Macaca mulatta: one gene and its partner. The protein of the gene in region 2 interacts with the protein of the main gene of each other region in a pairwise test. Links are inferred from orthologs where the notes say so. Each region holds a gene or a part of one and is shown on either strand. Other genes may lie near its edges.

The links. The genes of interacting proteins can lie anywhere in the genome.
Region 1: the proteins of USH1C (region 2) and USH1G interact in binary tests that used the Homo sapiens proteins (3 or more experiments, as listed by UniProt). The link is inferred for Macaca mulatta from reciprocal best matches to the Homo sapiens genes USH1C and USH1G.

The regions. Positions count from the first base shown.
Region 1 is NC_133421.1:84,574,075-84,581,421, reverse strand, and holds part of USH1G (pre-mRNA splicing regulator USH1G), read left to right. Parts: 5' UTR 1-100; coding exon 101-264; intron 265-2,500; coding exon 2,501-3,722; 3' UTR 3,723-3,884; intron 3,885-5,102; coding exon of another isoform or gene 5,103-5,106; exon of another isoform or gene 5,107-7,075; intron 7,076-7,347. UniProt on the Homo sapiens protein: Plays a role in pre-mRNA splicing by regulating the release and transfer of U4/U6.U5 tri-small nuclear ribonucleoprotein (tri-snRNP) complexes from their assembly site in Cajal bodies to nuclear speckles, thereby contributing to the assembly of the pre-catalytic spliceosome on target pre-mRNAs.
Region 2 is NC_133419.1:47,938,009-47,945,355, forward strand, and holds part of USH1C (harmonin), read left to right. Parts: intron 1-2,205; coding exon 2,206-2,314; intron 2,315-2,406; coding exon 2,407-2,431; intron 2,432-2,636; coding exon 2,637-2,694; intron 2,695-3,005; coding exon 3,006-3,100; intron 3,101-4,887; coding exon 4,888-4,972; intron 4,973-5,952; coding exon 5,953-6,012; intron 6,013-6,163; coding exon 6,164-6,220; intron 6,221-6,499; coding exon 6,500-6,642; intron 6,643-7,347. UniProt on the Homo sapiens protein: Anchoring/scaffolding protein that is a part of the functional network formed by USH1C, USH1G, CDH23 and MYO7A that mediates mechanotransduction in cochlear hair cells. Required for normal development and maintenance of cochlear hair cell bundles.

The DNA of each region.
Region 1 (7,347 bases), on a different chromosome or scaffold from region 2:
CCCCCTCCCCCAACCTCATGTCTCAGCCCTAACCCCGCCGCCCTCCCCTGCGGGGGGCCTTTCTCCGTGTCCCCCGCCCACTCCGTCCACTTCGGGCGCCATGAACGACCAGTACCACCGGGCAGCCCGGGATGGCTACCTGGAGCTCCTCAAGGAGGCCACCCGGAAGGAGCTGAATGCCCCCGATGAGGATGGCATGACCCCAACTCTCTGGGCTGCCTACCACGGCCACCTGGAGTCGCTGCGCCTCATTGTGAGCCGCGGGTGAGTACTCCCCACCCAGCGCCCTGAGACCCCTGAGACCACCCCAGACTCCCTGGGATCCATCCTCCACCCCTCCTCTGAGCTGCCTCCTTCCCCTGCAGACAGGTGGACCCTTAGACCCTGGCGTTTGTGGGAGAGACACACGTGGAGGGGGACCCAAGCAGAGGCATCTGACACTTGTAACACTTGTGACCTCGATCTGGGGCTAGGAGGGGGAGAAACCGGGATTTGGGGGTTCCTGATTATGGGGGGTTGCTGCAGAGTGAGGGGAAGGTGGGAGAGATCCCCTGGCTGGGGTCCCCCTGAAAGTAAGAGTGAGGGGCTTAATGAGACTCGGAGAGAAGGCTGGGAAGTCTGGAGGGGCCAGCAGTGGGGGCTAGAAAGGGTGGGGTCTTCACTGCCCACTCCACAGCCTTGGATCCAAAGGGCTTTCCCAGCCAGCACCCACCTTCCCTGGCAGGCTGGTGTCACACAGCGCTTGCCCCGGGATTTATGGACACTGTCCAGAGCGCCAAATGTCACTGATTCAGCCACCCCATTAACTCTCCAAGTCCCTCCCCCACAGCCGGGCATAGCTAAGCAATGGGGAGACTGTGATGTGGTCACCCTGAAGGGGCCTCTCTCCCCTCCCCCTCCCTTTGGAGTTGTCCTAGGGCGAGGGGTGGGCATAGAGTGCAGGTGTCAGCGCCAGGGAAGGGGCCTGGAGGTGGCAGTTAAGCCACCTCCAGGACTAGAGCCACTGACATGGGTTCCTTGGGGCTAAAGTCAAATGACTGTGACCAACTCCCTCAGCCCCAATGGCTTTATAAAGAGGAGTCAGGTTGGTCTGAACACCAGGGCGGCCTGGACAGGATGAGGGGTGGACAGGACACCCCAGGAGGGTTGATATGAAGTCTCAGGTCATGGGAGAGAGGGCTGGGGCCCAGGCACTGGCCTATGGCCTGATCATGTAGTGGGTGCTGGAGACCCCTCCCTCTTGCCCCCTCCTTGGGCTGCTCCTTGGGCCCAGCATCAGGTGGGAGCAGCCTCGAAGCCTGGGCAGCTGAGCCATGTCCCGGGAGGCCAAGGCTGACTGGCCCCTCCTCATCCCAGGAGAGCACACAGTGACACTGTCCCCTGCCATCCCTTCAGAGAGGCTCATGGGAGGAAGGGAGAAGGGGAAGAGGTCTCCCCTTGGGTATGCCAAGCCCCAACTCCTCCAGAGACCAGGATTGGTGTTTGATGGGGTGTGGGTCGGGTGCTGGCAGGCCCTTCCCACACTGGCCTGTAGGACTTGGTGGCCAGGAGGGGAGGCCCAGGAGGGAGTGTGTGAGGAGCTGTTGAGACAAGGGAGTGATTCTTCCCCCAGCCCTGGGGGTTGGCCTCGTGGCCTCATTAGTGCAGGGCAGGGGTGCTGTGCTGGGCCCCCAGGGGAGGGAGAGCTCCGGAGGAGTCTTGGGAGCTTGCCCTGAGGGACACAGTCTGGTGTGAGGGGTGCTTGTGGGGGCTGTCAGGGGTCCTGGACAGGCTCAAGTGAGACAGCCTTGAAGGGATAACAAAGAGGGGGCAGCCTGGGGAAGGGAGGGCTTCCGAGCGCAGGCAGCTGATTTCCCTCCTCCTCCCCTCCAGTCCTGGCTGCCCCCGCACTCCCCTCCTGGCCCAGGCCAAGGCCCGACACTTCCTCTCACACTCGGGCTTGCCAGGGCTGGCCCTGCTCCCTGCAGACAGGGCCCTGCCTGCTGACACACAAGCCCACACCTCACACACGCTAACCCGGGGCTGGGGCCCGGTACACATCACCCTCTGGTCTGTTCTCTTTTACGGTCACTCGGCACACGCAGCCACACTCACCACCATGCCTGCCTAGAGACCCAGACGCGGCCCTGGCCCCCCAGTGCTCTGGCCAGCTCTGTGCTGGGCCTCATGAATAATTTACTCCCTTCTCTCAGGGCATCAAATATTTATCCCCTGAGATTCCCAGTCCTCAGTTAGCTTGGGGAAGGTCCCGCCCCAGTCCCGCCTTCTCTGACACCCCACCCCCTGCACACCTGGGGCCATTTTCCCCTGGACTCACCCCTGGGCTCACCTGTTGGGTGGCTCAGGCCTGCAGGTCTCCTGGAGTCGAAGAGGTCTCAGGCCCACGGTCCCTTTGGGGGTTGCTGTGACAGTGGGGGAGCTCCCTTCCCCCCTCCACTCCCTCCACCTCCATCCCCAGCCAGGACTCGTCACTAGTCCCTCCTGGATGCTTTCCCTGCAGGGGTGACCCGGACAAGTGTGACATCTGGGGCAACACACCCCTGCATCTGGCAGCTTCCAATGGCCACTTGCACTGCCTGTCCTTCCTGGTGTCCTTCGGGGCCAACATCTGGTGCCTAGACAACGACTACCACACGCCGCTGGACATGGCTGCCATGAAGGGCCACATGGAATGCGTGCGCTACCTGGACTCCATCGCGGCCAAGCAGAGCAGCCTCAACCCCAAGCTAGTGGGTAAGCTGAAGGACAAGGCCTTCCGCGAGGCGGAGCGGCGCATCCGCGAGTGCGCCAAGCTGCAGCGCAAGCACCACGAACGCATGGAGCGGCGCTACCGGCGCGAGCTGGCCGAGCGCTCCGACACCCTCAGTTTCTCCAGCCTCACGTCCAGCACCCTGAGCCGCCGGCTGCAGCACCTGGCGCTGGGCAGCCACCTGCCGTACTCGCAGGCCACGCTGCACGGCACGGCCAGGGGCAAGACCAAGATGCAGAAGAAGCTGGAGCGGCGCAAGCAGGGCGGCGAAGGCACTTTCAAAGTCTCCGAGGATGGGCGCAAGAGCGCCCGCTCGCTCTCGGGCCTGCAGCTGGGCAACGACGTGATGTTCGTGCGCCAGGGCACCTACGCCAATCCCAAGGAGTGGGGCCGAGCCCCGCTCCGGGACATGTTCCTCTCGGACGAGGACAGCGTCTCCCGTGCCACGCTGGCAGCCGAGCCTGCCCACTCGGAGGTCAGCACCGACTCAGGCCACGACTCCCTCTTTACCCGCCCCGGCCTGGGCACCATGGTGTTCCGCAGAAATTACTTGAGCAGTGGGCTGCACGGACTGGGCCGCGAGGATGGGGGGCTGGACGGGATGGGAGCGCCTCGGGGTCGGCTGCAGAGCTCCCCTAGCCTGGACGATGACAGCCTGGGCAGTGCCAACAGCCTGCAGGACCGCAGCTGTGGGGAGGAGCTGCCCTGGGACGAGCTGGACTTAGGCTTGGACGAGGACCTGGAGCCCGAGACCGGCCCGCTGGAGACCTTTCTGGCCTCTCTGCACATGGAGGACTTTGCCGCCCTCCTGCGGCAGGAGAAGATTGACCTCGAGGCTCTGATGCTATGTTCTGACCTCGACCTCCGCAGCATCAGCGTCCCCCTGGGGCCCCGAAAGAAGATCTTGGGGGCCGTGAGGAGGCGGCGGCAGGCGATGGAGCGCCCACCGGCCCTGGAGGACACAGAGCTGTGAGTGTCCAGCCTGGCAGGGGGATGGAGGAACAGGAGTTGGAAGGCCCCTGGGGAGGGAGTACAGATCTGCCTATTCAGGAGTAGGGGGTGGGGGCTACTGTATTTCATAAAATCGAAATGGGGCCATCGATGATAAAAGGCCCCCTTATTTTATTTACCACCAGCTCAGAAAAAGAAGTTGCCAATTTAATGATGACCCAAGGCATTCTTATCACAGCTAGTGTAAAGTGCACCTCGATTTTGGGGACATCAACATGTGGGGAAATGGTCCTCTTAGTGTCACCGAGTTTCAACAGTCACGGGAATCACAGTTGGGGTGTTTTTGAGCCCTCCCACCTCCCAGGTGCTGGGTTGTGCCCTTGAACAAGTTCTCTTGCTTAATCCCTCTAAAAGCCCGTGTGCCCGGACTGTATTGGTGGATTATATCGTTCCCATTTTATAGCGGATGAGCAAGTGGAGGCTCAGACAGTTAGAATAGCTCACCTCAAGGTCCTGCTGCTGCTCAACATGGAGCTGGGCTTGATCCCTGGTCTGCATGGCTTTAGAGCCTGGGGTCAAGGTGGCTCCCATGGGATGCAGGGCTTGCAGTCAGCAGGGCCTCTCAGTTGCCCAAGACCTCAGGCAGATTTTTTTTTTTTTTTTTTTTTTTTTTTTTAAGACAGTTTCCCTCTTGTTGCCCAGGCTGGAGTGCAGTGGCACAATCTCAGTTCACTGCAACCTCCACCTCCCGGGTTCACGAAATTCTCCTGCCTCAGCCTCCTGAGTAGCTGGGATTACAGGGGTGCACTACCATGCCCAGCTAATTTTTGTATTTTTAGTAGAGATGTGGTTTTGCCATGTTGGCCAGGCTTATCTCGAACTTCTGACCTCAGGTGATCTGTCCACTTCGGCCTCCCAAAGTGCTGGGATTACAGGCGTGAGCCACCGCGCCCGGCTTTAGGCAGATGTTTTACCTGCTATTCCTGAACTCTGCAACCAGGAACGTGGGCAAATGCTCCCAAATGCTCTGGAGGCAGAGTTCATGTTCCAAAGCCCGTCATAGTTGGCCAAGGCCGCTGCCACAATGGTCATGCTGTGGCCAGCCCCTGCCCTGGCCCCTCCCCTGCAGCATCCCACAAGCCCAACAAATGCTGTCCTCATTTCCTCTTAGGTATCTATGGCCTTTATCCTGAGTGGCTGGGGCAGGGAGGGTGTGGGGAGGCAGGCTGGTTTAGAGTTTTGGGGATGGGGAGGTCACCCGTAGGCTGGCATCCTCCATCCCTGACCATCAACCTGCTGAGAGATGGGAAGGCTAAGTTGTCCAGATGGCTGTCCTGGGTGAAAATGATGCCTCTAAAGGACCTCACGTGAAATCTGTTTCTTTCTGTCTCTTCCTCCACAGATAACGGGGGGCTCCTCTCCCCAGACCAAAATGAATTGCAAGTTGCCACAACCTGTGGTGGGGCCTCAAGGTCCTCACAGTCGCCAGTCCTGCAGCCCCCTTCCCCAGGAGCAAGGACCACGTGGGTCGACTCCTTTGAAAGGCTGTCCACACCTTGAAGCAGAGGGTGTAGCCTGGAGGCACCAGAGGGGCAAGAGAATGTCCCCTCCAGTTCTGAGGGGTCACAAAGGCCCTGAGCCACCCATTCTGAGCAGCCCTAAAGGACATGTATACTTGGGGGAGGCTTACCCCAGAGGGAGGGCAGGGGCATGGAACTGGATGGGAGTGTGGGAGGTGAATGCCGGAGGGCATGCCTGTCCCGGGCCCCTCCCCTGATGGTCTTGTTCTCTTGTGCTCAGGCCGGAGAGTTGCTCACTTCCTGCATTTTTGTGAAGGGAAGAGTTTGGGCTGCCTCCCCTCTTCCAGTCCACCCCAGAGGGGAAGTTCCTCAGCCAGACTCTTCAGCCAAATGCCCCAACTTTCAGTCTGCACCCATTCCAAGCACAGCCAGCATCCCCTCCTTCAGCCAGTGGCCAAGGCCCGGAGCTGGAGAGCCAGGCTGGGGGTACTGACGCCCTTCCCAGCTCATCCAGGGATGGAGCCTGGCCTGTCTTCCTCCAGCCTCCCGCTTTTTCATTGTGCAGCCTGGCCCCGCCAGGGACCCCAGAGGGCCAGGGCACTAGATGCAAGGTGCTAGACCAACAGGCTGCAGTGTTATAGCCCCCAGGCCTGGCAGGCATGCGCTGGGCCAGAGAAAGGTGTCTGCCAACCTCCTCAGTCTCCCAGGCCTGGGACAGGCAGAACAGGGTGTGGCTGGGTGTTGGGCCTGGGTTGGGTAAGTCCTGCGATATGGACACTGGAGAAAGTGGATAATCTAAACTGCAGATTATCCCCAGGTCACCAGGGCTGTGTGTGTGCGTGTATGCATGTGTGTGCGTGCATGTGTGTGTACGTGTGTGGTGTGTGTGTGCTTGTGTGTGTGTTCTTGCGTACGTGTGCACGCACATGCATGTGTGTGTGCGTGCATGTGTGCGCACGTGTTTGTGTTTATGCATGTGTGTGCATGTGTGCGCGTGTTTGTGTGTGTTTATGCATGTGTGTGCATGCGTGCACATGTGTGTGTGTTTATGCGTGTGTGTGTGCATGCGTGCGTGTGTGCGCGCTCACCTTGGGTGTTGTTTGGTAAGTTTCCCTCTTTACCAAAGAGGGGCTGGGCTGCTGGATCGGGGCTAAGGGAGAGCTCGCCTGTGTCCCAGCCCTGTGATGGTGAGACCAGGGGAAAGGCCAGCTCAGAGGGTGGTCAGAGCATGTGTCCTCAGACATGTGCCCCCAGAGCTCTCCAGCCAGACCGAGGTCACAGATATGGGAGAGTCCCTCAGGAGCCCGCTGACATGTGTGTGCCCCTTCGCACCCCATGCAGAGGTGCTCTCCTCCTTCCTCAGCCATGGCCCCCCATCCCTGACCTCAGCTTGGGAAGCAGCTCCTGCTGGGAGCATGGCCATAGTCCCCAGCTCCTCCCGGGGCCCCCTTGGCTGGGGTAGGGGAAAGAGAGCCCTCAAAGGCCTCTTTTTGGTCTGTCCGGGGGTTCCCATTCCCATATACATGCCCAGAGTGGAGGCATGGAGGAGATGGTCCCTGTCCTATTGCAGGACACTGAGGGCTTGGCTGCCTGCCACTGCTATCTGGAGCCCACCGCAGTGCTTCTCCCTGTTCTCTGGGCCTGAGCCTGGGGCCACCCCCAAGTGCCGACTTGTTTTTCCCAGAGCCCCAGGTGCTGCCCCTTCTCTCCCATTCCTTGTCCATTTACTGCCGCAGCCCCTCCTGATTCTAGCCAGTGCTGGGGTGGAGCAGGCTCTGTGTGCCCACCACTGTAGCCCGAATCCCTCCTGCAGGCTCATTACCACTTTTGTAGAGAATGTTCTCCACCAGTGTCATGCCTGTGTCTTGTCCTTTAATGCTTTGGGTATGAAGAGTGGGGGGTGGGGGTGGGGCGGGAGGGGTCTTCTCTGTGCTTGTGAGGACTGGGTCCTGGGCCCTGTTCTCTGGAGTGTCTTCGAGCCCCCATGCTATGCATCTTTGAAGAGATCCCTAGGCCTTTACCCTGCTCTCCTAGCTCAGTCCAGAATGAGGAGCTGGTGGAGAGGCAGGGCTGAGAACTAGGGCAGGAGAGTCCCCCCGAGCAAGGAGGATGACTGAGCCTCCAGGC
Region 2 (7,347 bases):
CCTGAGGGCAGCTGGGAGAAGATGCTGGAAGGCAGGGGAGGGCAGGTTCAGATACAGCCTGGCTGGGCTAAAGACCTGTGCTGATTTGACCCGTGAGGCTGGGTCCCCAGTGGTGGACTTGGACCCTCCCACAGGACCTAGTCCTGGGGATCCACCCCTCTGCCCTTATCCCCTGCTGGAGATACTTGAAGGTTTTTTTTGTTTTTTGTTTTTTGTTTTTTCAAGAATATCCTAACTTGACCTACGTCCTCTGCCTTGCACAGGGCAGCGTGTACCATACAACTTGCTGTATATTCCAGGCCTAGAAAATTATTCTGTGTGCCTTGGTTGTCCCTGTCATAACATGGACAGTGTAATGCCTGCCTTTGTGTGGGACTTGAGGGCTCTGACAGGTGGCAAGGATCCAGAGAGGGCAGGATGCAGGGAATTGCAGCCAGGCTTGGCCGGGTGCCCGTCTTTTCTGCTTCCAGACACCTAGGAAACACCACTTGTCTATCAGGGAGACCTGACTTCAAACCCCACGACACTGTTTACTAGTGGGGTAACCTTGAGCAAGTCACTTTACCTCTCTGAGTCTCCGTTTTCTCATCTGATTAACAGAGATACAAATTCCTGACCTGCAGGGTTATCGTGAAAAATAGGTGGAAGGAGTTAGTCTGGCCACTGTCCTTGAATTAGATGTTCCCAGAAACCTAGAGGGTTCTTTAGTGTGCCCCCACTCTGGTGCCATTTTGAGCCCTTGGCCACTCCTGTCAGGTCCCTGAGAAGACTGGGGTCTGTGTCCCAGAGTGGGAAGGAAGCGTTCCTTGGAACAGTGAGAAAGTGACTCTGTGGGAGTGCTGTAGAAGGCAGGAGTTACCCTAGAGGACCCCTCGGAGGCTGTATGTCCACCCAGCCCCTACCTATCTCGGTCCACAGGGAGTCCAGCTTTCGTCCCTCACGTATGCCAGCAAGTCTCCAAAGGGTGAGCATGTGTGTTTTGAGTTAAGCCCCCAGCTGACCTGCACTGGCCTCAGACAGGAACCTCTCCAGGAGCCAGTCTCTGTTTTGCAGCTACTGGCTGTGTGACCTTGGACAAAACCTCACTTCCTTGGGCCTCAGTTTCAGCTGACATCTGAGAGTCCCTCCTGCTCTGTGGTTATTAAATGAGGAGCTCCAGAATTGATCCCCAGGGCCAGGGTGCCTGGAGGAGCCGGCAGTGTCCAGCAGGGGGCAACCTCACCACAGCGCTGTATCCAGGGCTGGCTGCCCAGGGCCGAGTCCCTATCTCACAATCCGCTGTGGCCTAAGCCCTGAGAAGAGAGATCTGAGCTGAGTATTCAGGGATCAGGACTAACTCATGATAACAATAACACTCATGTATTGAGTGCTTACTGTGTGCCAGGCACTAGCTGGCTTTACATGCACAAGTTCACTTAATTCTCACAGCAACCTTGGTATTCCTCATTTTACAGACGAGGAAAACAGGTTCAGAGAGTTCAAGAGACTTGCTCAAGGTCACATAGCTAATAATAATAAAAGAAGGGATTTGAACCCAGCACATCTGATGCCAAAGCCCTGTGCTCATCCACTGTTCTTTGCTTGCTCCCAAAATAGGAATTGAGAGGTCAGGGCCACGGCAGAGTTAAAATGTTCATCAAGTTTCCATATGGTGGGGAAAAAAAAATCGTGTGTGTGTGTGTGTGTGTGTCGGTGATGTGAGCTTGGGTCAGGAGTCACAGAAGGTCCCCACCCTGACTCACTTACAGTGTTGTAGCAATTAGCAGAAAAAGGGAGCCAACTTCCTAGGGGCGGGTTGGGACAAAGTCCCGGTAAGAACAGCTTAAAGCTGAGTGAAAGGTCACCCTTTGCATAGAATCCAGAATCTGATGGTGCCCCAGTGGAGTGAAAGGGGCACCAGGGTGAGGGTGCAGAGAGTTCTGAGATCTTCTCCCAGCTCTGCTGCACACCTGCTGTGCCCCTCACCTCTGTCTTGGTCTCTCCATCTGCAAAATGGGGCGGCAAGACTGCTTGGACATGCCACCTGAACCTGGGATCCCCCAGGCTGATGGAGGGTGGGTTGGTTGAGATCAAGGCTTATTCCAGGGGATGGCATGGCCACCCTTCCCTTTTCCGGATAGCAGTCTGGGAGCATCTGGTGGTGAGTCTGCCCCACTGCCTGATGCTCCCTCCAGCCAGTGCTCCCTGCCTCTCTCTGTGGTCAAGGTAGGGGACGAGATCGTCCGGATCAATGGATATTCCATCTCCTCCTGTACCCATGAGGAGGTCATCAACCTCATCCGAACCAAGAAAACTGTGTCCATCAAAGTGAGACGTGAGTGAGACTAGAGCAGGACAGGGCTCCATGATGGTGGGAGGGAGGGAGGGTGGAGGAGCTGTCCTAACCCCTGTGCCTTTCTCCCACAGACATTGGCCTGATCCCCGTGAAGAGGTGAGAGGCCCCTCCTCTGCAGGCCGACTCTTCCCTGTGGGCCCGGGGTCCTGGTACAGCCCTGGGGTCCAGCACTCACCATGCCAGCCCTGCTCCTGGGCCAGTGGAGGCTGGAGGTTGTAGACATGGTGGATCTGGATTTGGGGCCTGGTTCGTCAAACGTCTCTCGCTAACCACCCTTCCATCTATTTTCCCTTCCCATCAGCTCTCCTGATGAGCCCCTCAAGTGGCAGTATGTGGATCAGTTTGTGTCAGAATCTGGGGTAAGGGCCAGACCTCCTGTGATGGGGTTTGGGTGGGGTCATCTTCAAGGATGGGCGGCCAGTCCTAAAGGGAGGGCTTGCTCTAGAGATGCACTCTCAGGGACTTCACACAGGCCCCCAGGGCAGCCAGCACACTGCTGTGGGGCAGTGGCCCTCAGCCAGGCCAGGCTGGTGCAGACACATCCCCAGGGACAGAATGATGATCTGGCTGGTGTGAGTTCAGCAGTGCTCGCCCTGCAGGTCCCACGAGCTCAAGAGGCCGCTTGCACGCATGTGGACACTCAGAGATTCTGCTTCTATCTCCCTTTCAGGGGGGGCGAGGCAGCCTGGGCTCCCCTGGAAATCGGGAAAACAAGGAGAAGAAGGTCTTCATCAGCCTGGTGGGCTCCCGGGGCCTTGGCTGCAGGTGGGTGGTGGGCATGCCCCGGGGTCATTCGTGGCCAGTGCACCCCAGCAGGCCCCTATTACCCTCCCCTTCCTCACTGCTGCTTCTGAGGAAACCTTGCCCACCAGGGGTGTGACTTGTCCATGGGTGATGGTATTTTTTTGTTAGAGACAGGGTCTGGCTCTGTCACCTGGGCTGGAGTGCAATGGCGTGATCATAGCTCACTGTAGCCTCGACCTCCCCAGCTCAAGCAATCCTCCCACCTCAGCCTCCTGAGTAGCTGGGTCTACAGAAACACACCATGACACCCAGCTAACTTTTAATTTTTTTGTAGAGAAGGAGTTTTGTTATGTTGCCAAGGCTGGTCTCAAATTCCTGGGCTCAAATGATCCTCCCACCTCAGCCTCCCGGAGTGCTGGGATTAGAGGCATGAAGCACCGCGCCCAGCCTTGGTGATGACACTTCCTGGTGCCTGATTTCCCCTCTGAATTTCACGACAGGCCTGTAGGGCCCGAGGGGCATCTCTAATAGATCCCAGTTTACGGATAAAGAAATTGAGGCCTAGAGGCAGAACCATGTTACCTTGTAGGTCCTTGAGTCACTGCAAAAGGAGCCTGTTCAGCTGGTCATCTCTGTCACAGTTCTCTTATCACTTATTACCTTGTCGGCTTCGTTAAGAGGCAGACGGGGAATCCAAACAGATACTGGGCCACACGGGGCTCAAGCGTGCAGGTTCCACCGTTACTCAGATCCCAGTTCCAGCCCTGCTTTCCTACTTAAGAGCTCTGGAACCTTGGGCCAGTTACTTAACCACTTGGAGCCTCAGTTTCTCCCTCTATAAATTGATGATAATAATTCCCACATCACAGGGTGATTGTGGAGAAAGTAAAGTACCAAGCTTAGTACCTGCTAAACAGTAAGCAGTTGGTAAATACTAGCTGTTATGATTTGAGTTATTCCTCTTCTTTCCCTTCATTCACATTTATTCCATGTTTTGTGCCAAGCATAAGTGATAAAGAGTCCCTCCCTTCTGGGAGACAAGAGCCTAATCTAGAAGCCAACCACATAAACAGTTATAATATAGGGTGATAGGGACTCAAATGGAACTACATTCTGTGTCCGGGATGGCAAATAGGTGCCATCTCTAATCAATTAGTAGGAGCTCCCTGGAGTGCTGCTTTGAAAAGGATTCTAAAGCTATATCCAGGCTTGAGGGAAAGAGTGCTGTGATCAGTGAGTGATTTCTGCCACCAATCTAGGAAGGAATAATAACAGTACATGTGCCATTCCTGTCGTAAATGTCATAGGAGCACTGAGAACCGAGCAAATAGCTTGGTCTTGGGATAGAATAAGGGATCTGAGCCAGGCATGGTGGTGTGCACCTGTAGTCGTAGCTAGTCAAGAGGTTGAGGTGGGAGGATTGCTTGAGCCCAGGAGTTGGAGGCTGTGGAGAGCTATGATCACACCACTGCACTCCAACCTGGGTGACAGAGCAAGACCCTGTCTCTAAAAAATAAATTTTTTAAAAAAGAGGATCTGCTGAAAACCTTATAGAAGGGATAGCATTTGGTTCTTAAGGAATGGACAGGAAAGCGTTAGAAAGAAAAAAGAAACAACATATGAGGTATATTAGGTGAGAGATTGGGTAGGAAGAATTACAAGGAGTTTTCTGTGGCTGTTGCCCAGGGTAGCAGTAGAAATCAGGCTGGACGGGGAGACAGAGGCTGAAGAGGTAGGCAGCCGAGGGCCTTCAGTCCTGAGTTCATGAGTGACCTGTATCCTAAGCACACATTTCCCACCTCCCACAGCATTTCCAGCGGCCCCATCCAGAAGCCTGGCATCTTCATCAGCCACGTGAAACCTGGCTCCCTGTCTGCTGAGGTGGGATTGGAGGTGAGTGACGCTGGGCCGGCCCCAGTGGGGGCCCACTGGAAACTGGGTCAGACTGTGATCCCGCGGTGACAGGGGCAGGTGCCTTTCCACATGGCCCTCTTTCGGCGGTCACTGATCAGGAGGAGCCCTACCCACCCTGCAGAGAAGGCTTCACAGAGTGGGGACATTTGACCCTTCTGCAGCCTTCCATAGCTCTGATGGTTGTTGGTCGTGAGCTTGGGAATGTCATAATGATAATCAAAGAGCGGACCTTCAGGGTCCACTTGCATCGGACATTGTTCCACGCCCTTTACACTTCACAAGAACGCTGAGGATTAAGTGCCACCATTATCCCCACTTTACATATGAGGAAACTGAGACCCAGAGAAAGTATATGATTTTTCTGAAATCATGTACCTAGCATGGTAGGACTGGAATTCAAACCTAGGTGGTCTCATCCCAAAGCAGGAACCCTTAACCTCTTCTTTGGACAAGTTACTTCATGTCTCTGTGCTTCAGTTTCCTTACCTATAAGATGGGGATAATAAAGCCTTTCTTCCAAGGTTGTTGTGTGGGTTAAAGTAGTTAATATGTATACTAGAACTGTGCCAAGCACACTGTAAGTGATCAGTGAATGTTAGCTATTCTGTTATGATGATTCAACACAGCCTCTGCTAAATGAGAAGCTCAAAAGTTTCCGCATCTACAAACTGTGATTTCTAAAGCAAGTGTCATCAAATTTAGCCAAAAAAAGAACATGTAATGGTATAATATTTGATAGTTGATAAGGTAGTTATGAAGTAGGGGAGTGCCAGGGTCAGCTTTAAGCCCTCCCAGAGCTCCACCAGAGCTTTCCAACTGCTCCATTCATCAGGAGGAACTGAGGTACAGCCACTTGAAGACCCAGCATCTGACCCAGAACCCCTGGGGGCGCCCATCCTGCAGATGAACGAGTGTACAGATAGCGTAAACACACTAATCTTTTTCCACTTCCCCACCAGACAGGGGACCAGATTGTCGAAGTGAATGGCATCGACTTCTCTAACCTGGACCACAAGGAGGTGAGATGTAGGGGTCTTCACCTGCTGGCCTTTGTCATCTCCACACCCCACTTCTCACCCCCACCACCCTGAAGCCTGGGGCCTTCTGTGCTCTCTGCCTGGACTGCTCTGGTCTGTCAGGCCTCGATCCACTGTCCTTCTGTCCCCACAGGCTGTGAACGTGCTGAAGAGTAGCCGCAGCCTGACCATCTCCATCGTAGCTGGAGCTGTAAGTCCAGAACGAGCTGGTGGGAGCCCCTTGACCCTCATCCCCAGCCCCTCTGACCTTTGATCTCTGCCACACACTCCCAGGGTGGCAGGTCTCCTTCCCTGAAGCTCTGACAGAGCAGACGGAGGGAGAGGACTTCTGCCCAGCAACAAGTTTGGGTCAGGGATTGCAGGAGCCACTGTGCCTGATGGTGCTGAGAAGACCACCTGCATCTCGGCCCCCAAGGGTGTGGCAGGGGATCCCCAGGGGCTGAGCAAGGGGCCTCTTTTCTCCCACGAGGGCCGGGAGCTGTTCATGACAGACCGGGAGCGGCTGGCAGAGGCGCGGCAGCGTGAGCTGCAGCGGCAAGAGCTCCTCATGCAGAAGCGGCTGGCGATGGAGTCCAACAAGATCCTCCAGGAGCAGCAGGAGATGGAGCGGCAGTGAGTGCAGCCAGCCCTGGGTGCCCTGCCCCACCATACAACCCCACCTAGCTTGTGTCCTGCCTGCTGTGTCCCCAGCTAATTTCCTCCTCCTCCCTGGAGGCCAGTCCTCAGACCAGATGAGTTTGGTGGTGGGTCAGTGTATCCATCCTTGGCCCCTTCCTCCTTGCTGAGCAGAGACCCCTGACTTCCAAGATTCCAAGAATGTGGAAAATAAGCATCCTACTAGCAGTAGGCTCTAGCTAGCTAGGATTAGCTACTAGCTAACATTTGTCAAGTACCTCTATAAGGCTGGCGTTGTATTAGGGCCTTGTTTATGTTTCTTAATTCCTACAATAGCCCTGGGAGGTAGAGGTAGAGAGTATTAACCCCATTTTACAGGTGTGGAGACTGACACTCAGAGAGGTGAAGCCACTTGTGTCCAAAGTCACACGTGGCCAAGCTGGGATCACCCCCAGGCAATCTGGCAAGTCCCCACAGGGCTGCCCTGCCTATAGTGATAAAGCTCGTCCCTGTCCAGGACGATTGAAATGATGACCTAAGAGAATAAATGGGGTGATCAATTCATAAATCAAAAACTACTGTCAAGATCCAAACCCAAATACATTCTAGGCATTTAAAAGTATTTCATGGCTAGACGTGGTGGCTCACACCCTGTAATCCCAGCACTTTGGGAGGTCAAGGCCAGCAGATCATTCGAGGTCA